2 linked regions of the Kluyveromyces lactis genome follow. The protein of the gene in region 1 purifies or fractionates together with the protein of each later gene. This does not show direct contact. Links are inferred from orthologs where the notes say so. Each region holds a gene or a part of one and is shown in the gene's direction. Other genes may lie near its edges.

What was found.
Region 2: the proteins of UBP8 (region 1) and SPT7 purify together in Saccharomyces cerevisiae (affinity purification with mass spectrometry; 18 studies listed by BioGRID, with this or other methods). This does not show direct contact. The link is inferred for Kluyveromyces lactis from reciprocal best matches to the Saccharomyces cerevisiae genes UBP8 and SPT7.

What each region holds. Positions count from the first base shown.
Region 1 is NC_006039.1:603,178-606,816, reverse strand, and holds UBP8 (ubiquitin-specific protease UBP8), read left to right. Parts: upstream 1-1,132; coding exon 1,133-2,473; downstream 2,474-3,639. Other genes in the region: KLLA0_C06996g (alpha/beta hydrolase), read right to left, coding at 1-387; PLP2 (Plp2p), read right to left, coding at 2,635-3,492. UniProt on the Saccharomyces cerevisiae protein: Histone deubiquitinating enzyme component of the transcription coactivator SAGA complex. SAGA acts as a general cofactor required for essentially all RNA polymerase II transcription.
Region 2 is NC_006041.1:1,117,426-1,121,441, forward strand, and holds the start of SPT7 (SAGA histone acetyltransferase complex subunit SPT7), read left to right. Parts: upstream 1-1,216; coding exon 1,217-4,016. Other genes in the region: KLLA0_E12563g (uncharacterized protein), read left to right, coding at 1-316. UniProt on the Saccharomyces cerevisiae protein: Component of the transcription coactivator SAGA complex. SAGA acts as a general cofactor required for essentially all RNA polymerase II transcription. At the promoters, SAGA is required for transcription pre-initiation complex (PIC) recruitment.

The sequences.
Region 1 (3,639 bases):
CTGTTGTTCCTCCGTGAGGCCTAAAAGGTTATTGAAATCCGTCATCAAATATCCAGTGACACCTGCACCTTGACTAAACCCACAGATACCATCAAATGGTCCATTTTCGACAACGTACTCTTTCAAGAATTTCAAAGTCACGTCGGGCAATCTGTACTCCCCATGCAACGGATCCGGTTGAAGCCACGCGTGATAGTCATCCCCAGAAGCAGCGCCGATATCTGCAACATCGCTAGGAAGATCTGCTGGTGATAAATTAATTGGTGCTGTAGGGTAGAAGAACTCATATCCAAGTGGTTCTAAGACCCGACGAAAACCTTTCGTTTTCGATTCAAAATAAGGACCAGACTGGGCAAGCCCATGCAACATCAATACTTTCTTAGACATTTTTTAAAAACCCTAGAACTGTTTATCTACCTCACAGCCTGAAGCGGTGTTAAATCCAAATCCACTAATAATAGAAACCGGACATAAATACCTACCCATATACTACTCCCCTTCAGAATACTGGAACAGAATTGGAAAACGTTGATGAACTTTTTTTTTTTTTAAATTTTCCTTGCGATGAGCTCCCTCTCCCTCTCTCTCTTTCTCTGCGAATCGGATTATCTCCTAGAAATCTTCGTACGCAGCTGGTTTTTCCAGGTACCTCTCGAGAGAAAGAGTACAAAATGACTACATAAGGATGACTACGGGATACATGCTAATTTTGATACTCATAAAAAATAAAACTAATAATATATAAGAGATCCTGTAGACACCTCCACTCATTTGCCTGTATGGTTACAAACACCCCGGCTGATAGTAGTCTGTATATGACCACACTGAGCTCCCACAAGTATATACTATCTACCGTTTACTTATGTATCATTTCTTCCTTTTATTTTTCGCTTTTTCATTTTTTTGCTTGATTCTGGATCAAGTTTTTTCTGTTTAACTTTTCATTATATGAAATTCGCACTCTAACAGATGATGATCTAGTAATCAGATTCAGTTACAATTTTTGGGGAAACGGAGCAAAGTCTTTGTGCCTTAGTCATCCTCTAGCTCGAGCAGGGAACTTCAGCTAGATATTTTTCTGAAATTTCTCAGTGCTCGTGCGTGTGCTTGGCCAAAATTTTTTTTATTAGTTATGGTTTGTCCGCATATGAATCAAGTGGTTTCTAACCAAAAGCTTGGTGACGCAGTGTTGAAAGAATGCGAAACGGTACGATATCTGCTTCGCCACGCAGACTTCAAGAATAGAACTATGAGAACCATGAGATGTATGGATTGTGGTGAAATTAGCTGTGGATCGACTTTCATTTGCTTGCAATGCGGATTTTGCGGGTGCTGGAATAACAACCATTTCTTGGATCATTCTCAAAAATTGGGACACATCTTTGGGGTTAATTCATCAAATGGTCTAGTGTTCTGTTTCAGATGTGGTGATTTCATGGCTGATCTGGTCGCTGAAATTCCGGCTAGCCAATGGGATACTGTAATGGAAAAGACCGAGCTACCAGCTAGCTTACACAGAGATGGATTACAAGGTTTGGTGAACATGGGATCCACCTGTTTCATGAGTAGTATCATTCAAACCATCATACATAATCCATACTTTGTCGAGGACCTGTTATCTCATAAGCATTGCAACAATTGTGACATTAAATCAGGAACCAAGTGCGTCTCTTGTGCATTGGATGAAATTGCTTGTGACTTTTACGGGAATGGACCTGGGACAGGGAAGTCTTCCTCCGTTAGCAAAGGCTTTGTAAACCTTTTATCTGCATCATGGCATATCAATCATCATCTTGTTGGCTCGTCACAACAGGATGCACATGAGTACTGGCAGTTCTTATTGAACCAACTGCATACGGATCATGCACGAGTATTCGGATCGTCAAAGGCCCCTGATTGTCAATGTATCACGCATCGAATCTTCCAAGGATATCTTAAAAACACTTTACAGTGTTCTCAGTGTGGATTCTCAAAGACCACAATAGATCCAATCATGGACCTTTCCTTAGAGATCAAAAATAACCCTAAATTAGAAGATTGCTTAGATCACTTCCAAAGAGAGGAAACATTAACCGATTTTCACTACGAATGCCAAAGCTGTAAACAGAACCAGGGTGTGGTGAAACAGTTAACGTTGCATAAGGCTCCTAACGTATTAGTTATACAGTTGAAAAGATTCGAACATCAACTCAACGGTCAAAGCGCAAAATTAAATGATAGAGTACAGTTTCCATTGCATTTAAATCTAAAACCCCATTTATTCCAGATTGAAGATGAATATATTCCTAATATTGCATATGATCTACTAAATGTAGTCTCCCATCAGGGGACGGTTGATCAAGGTCATTATACCACGGTGAGTAAAACTGAAGATGGACAATGGTTTAAATTCAATGATTCTGTTGTCACTTCAGTAACGGAAGAGCAAGTATTGGAACAACAAGCATATCTACTTTTCTACATTATTCGTTGAATATGTTAAAAGAAGAAAAACTCCTAAATTGGTTTACTAGGTGGCTTCCGTATATATATGTCAGAAAAGAAACCCAAATAACATCACACCAATCGACGTGTTATTATTGCCTTTATATCTTTTTTTTCAATATACAGACCCATATATATATAGTATTCTATCTAATCGAAGAAATCATCATCATCATCATCATCTGCACCGTTGCGGCCATTTCTACCAACACCAACATTAAATTTGCCTTTGATACCTGATCTTATACTGTTATGACCGTATCTCTGTTTCTTTTCTTGTTTAGTATAATCATCTTCGTGGTTCATTAGCAATCTACCATCTTTCTCGTCTACTGCACCAATATCAACCATAAGTCTTTCAAAATCTTCCAATTTAGTATCTTTTCCACCAAGTTCGAGTAGTGTAACCAAATGTTTTACGACATCACCTTTGTAATAAACAATCAAAGTCGGACAGTTGTTATCTGGATAATTCTCTATTGCTCTATTACCAGGAATTTCCACGAATTTGATTTGGGGGAATTTGGCTGCTGCTTTCTCAAAGATACTAGATAATAACCTACTTTCAAGTTTGGCTTGACAAGTTAAATGAACAAACACATAAACCCCTCCTTCAAACTCTGAAGAACCATCATCAACATATTGTGATTTTTTAGTGCCTTTACTGCATTCTGTGATCTCTCTGTTGTAATCAGGTTTGCTGATTGGATATACTGAACCAAATTTTGCCTTTTCCTGTAATTTCTTGATCTCATTGAGACGTTTCTGTTTATAAAATTGTAGAAATTCCTCATCTTCTTCATCTTCCAAATCCTCCAAATCTGATAGATCCTTGCCGTCTAGTCTATTTTCATGTTGCTTTGCCAATGCTTCTTCTAACGCTTCTTCTAGCTGCGCAGTTGGTGATGGTGGTCTTTCTGGAATTACACCGTGAGCTCTTAAGATATCGTTCCACTCGGTATCTTCTGTCTCATCGACTTGCACTTGAAACATAGGCTCATTTTGCATTATGGTTAGATTGTGGTGCTGCAGAAGCTGTCAAGTAATCTTATGTGTAGGTTTATTCTCACCGGTTGGCTCAGTTTAGTATGAAATACTGATGCCTTCATGCTATTATAAATTTAAAACTTAAAAAAAAAAAATAGACACCATTCA
Region 2 (4,016 bases), on another chromosome or scaffold:
CCCATATGCAGGCGGTGTTTTCTTCCTATCAATCCATTTCCCAACAGATTACCCCTTCAAACCACCAAAGATCTCTTTCACCACTAAGATCTACCACCCAAATATCAACGCTAATGGTAACATCTGTCTAGATATCCTAAAAGATCAATGGTCTCCAGCTTTAACTATCTCTAAGGTCTTGTTGTCCATTTGTTCTCTTCTAACAGACGCTAACCCTGATGATCCTTTGGTCCCTGAAATCGCTCATTTGTATAAGACCGATAGAGCTAAGTACGAGGCTACTGCTAGAGAATGGACTAAGAAGTATGCTATTTGAAAGAAATATAACAAAAAAAAAAGAAGAATGAACCGAAGAAAAGAATACTACAAAAGGACAGGGTTCGGCGGAAAGTAATATCATCTTAATCCGACTAAAAAAATACTCAAACCTTCCACCATTGTATATCCTACCCCTTTTTGTTATCGGTACTTTCAACTCACATCGTTTTGGACTTCTTCTGACACAATTCTCAACTTCAAGCTTTCAAGGTTTAAAGTATTAGAAAGAATAGTATATATATTAACGCACCAATTTTCTTTATATTATATTGTGTATGTGCTCATGGTACATGTAGGTATATATACCGTATAATTTTGATATATTTCATTTCCATTAGACGACTGTTTCCGACAGGTAAGCTAGAACCATTGGTTATAATTATACAAGATTTTTCAAGACTTTTCAAGACTGGTTTTTGTCCACAGACATTGGTTTCTGAATGTGCCAATTTGGTCACAATTATAGAAATGGAGAGACATACGCCTGATCATTCTAGCTAGTGAAAATCAATTTATCAATGCTTACCTAGGTACTAAAAACCTACCACAACTAGTCCTATATATATAGATACAACTGGGTAGAGCTGTTGGATACTCAACTCTTGTATGTTAAGGCTAAGCGCCGCTGAAACGAATAAGCCGTATGACTGTCCCAATATCACTTTATACGTTTTGATGTTTTTTGACATTTCGTGAATTTTGGAAAACACAGACAATCGGTGCAACTGATGGACAAACAAGATTCGGACCATACACTCAAAAGTCGTGCCGTTTACAGCTTGTATCAGTAAAACGAGAGGCAAGCGAGCTGGTAGTGAAGGAATTGATTCAGAATTTTCCTTCAAAACTACTCTTTATTTACTCTAGTGGTTCTTTCTGCGGAAAAAGTTGACTGTCCATGATTACAAGTTACCAGCGGTCCGATGCCGCCGCAATACTTCGAACCATCCAGAAGTTATTCGCAGATGATGTATTTAAAAAGCACCTCAATCCGAGTCAGTTACTTTTATTGAAGTACTTGTTGAGTCTACCAGACCAAGAATCAAAGACACTTATATGGGATGCGTTTCTCTCCGGCAAGTTGGAACTATTTGTAGAACTGAATACAACTCTTAATGCAACTTCCGACAAAGGTGCCACTAATGATTTGGTAGCGGCTACCAGATTACCATCATTATCAACACAACAACAACCTCAAGCTAGTTCTGGACTCTCGAGAACTGGCACTCCTTTACATGATTCGACTGATAACCAAAGTGTTGACGATGACGACAGTGATATGATCGATTTGGAACAATTGAAGGCCCAGCTAGATGGACTGGATTTTATAGGAAATTTATCTATGAAAGTCAGGTACGTTGTATGGGAACATGGACTCACTCTCCTTGAGCCAGAAACATCCTCAGAATACCTTCTACTTGACACGGATAATGATAGCGCTGTAATAGAGGATGGAAGTAATAATACTCTTATAGATCAAAGTGCGGTTCCCAACTCTTCCACGCTTCCTACAAATGACACAGCACCCTTGACTATGAAAGAAGTGAGCAAGAATAGCGAAAACAAAGAAGGCTCTGATGAAGATGATAACTATGATGAAGATGATGATGACGACGACGAGGATAATTACGATGATGCTGAAGAAGATCCTCAAAAGATAGAAAAAAATGATACAGAAAATGGAAAAATCTCTCATCCTAATGATCTTGATGAGAAACCCAAAGTGTCAGATGAAACTGAATCGCCAATTTACGAGCAACTTGATAACGGACTCATAAGACTGCATTTCATCATCTCAAAGGAAACTTTGAACGAACTTCCATCTGTAAATACCTACGATATCATCGGTAACTTTCACAAAATATATCATCTCTTTGACAATGATAAAGAGACCACTATGAGGCGTTTAAAACTTCAGGAAAATGATCAAATGCTAGAAAGCTCAAGGAAAAGGTCTCACGAACAGATTGAAGACGAAGAAGAGGATGACTCAGGGAACCCTAGCATATCTCATCATAAGTCTGCGGCAGATAAGAAGATCAATACTAAGACTAAAGCAGATATCCAAATGGACCTCGGTGTCGTAAATCTGTCATTAAGGCATTTGCTCAAATCGGTACAGGAAAATAAAAGTAAGCTAGATATTTCAGATTACGAACTTAAACATTTATTAATGGATGTTAGAATGAACAGATCTAAATGGGCTTCTGAAGATAAAATTGGACAAGAAGAATTATACGATGCATGCGAGAAGGTGGTACTGGAACTCAGAAATTTCACAGAGCATTCTACTGCATTTCTTAACAAAGTCAGCAAGAGAGAAGCTCCAAACTATTACCAAATAATTAAAAAACCAATGGATTTGAACACTGTGCTGAAGAAGCTCAAAACTTTTCAGTATAAATCTAAACATGAGTTTGTTGATGATATTATGTTAATATGGAGAAACTGCCTCACGTATAACTCGGATCCTAAGCATTTCTTGAGAGCCCATGCAATTGCGATGCAGAAGAAATCTCAACAACTAGTACCACTAATACCAGATATAACAATCCGTGATAGAGCGCAAGTTGAAAAAGAACTAGAAGATATAGACGCCGAGAGCAACATTAAAGACGATGAAGAGGATGCTGGTTCAGGTCGTAAGGGTATTCAGAGACGTGGTGTTCAAAAGGTTATTGACGATGAAGAAGAAGAAATGGAAGAGAACCATCCTGGAGGTAAAAAAACACGAGCAACTGATGCTGAACGGAATCAACAACAATCCACCAATAAAACAGTAAGCAGTGACAAAACACCTTCCACTAACGAAGCTGAACAAACGCCAGAAGTTGGCATAGTTTCTGCAGAGGGGAGAGGCTCCAAAGTGGCTCAATCTTCGACTAATAACGAATCTACTGAACCAGCAGTTGAAAGTAAAGCAGTGTCAACTGTTGAAAAAAACCAAGAACATGAGGATGCAGAAGAAGAGGAAGAGGAAGAGGATGAAGATGAAGAAGATAATGCCGCTGGAATGATGCTTCTTGAACGAGATGACGATAAGGACGATCTGGAATTGTCCACATGGAAAACACTTACAGCCAAAGCCCGTGCTGAAATTTGTTTGAAAAGATCACAATTGTTCAACGAACACAAAATTAATTCCGAATCTGATGCCCTCTTGAAAAATCCTTCTAAATTAAAGAATTTTGATCAGTTCTTCGAGGAGTATAAGCAACAGAAAGAAGCAGAATTTGCAAGACAAAAATTACAAGAACAGTCAATGATGAAAAACGGTTTTGGGGCAATAATGAACCAAGCAGATAGCAGTGTATCGAATTTTTCTGACACGAACGTTAAATCACAAGATGCCGAAAGTTCCTTGACTAAAGAATCGAATGAAATCACTCTCGAAGATTCTTCGTTATTGACAGAGTACAACATCACTAATTATATCCCGGACTTGGCATATACAGGTATTGGGAAAGAACAATTAGATAAAGCTGAGGAAGCTATGGTTCAAAAAATTATGAAGGAAGGAAAAGTAATGAAGAGCTCTTTGTTGAATACTGTCGATAAGGGGTTGAGTCCAAAAATGAACACGAATATCCAGTTGATACATGAGATTAGGCATATATGTCATAAAATTTCTTTGATTAGAGCACTACAAAATCCAAATAAACCCAAAAATTCACAACAACCGCTAAGGTTCAAAGAAT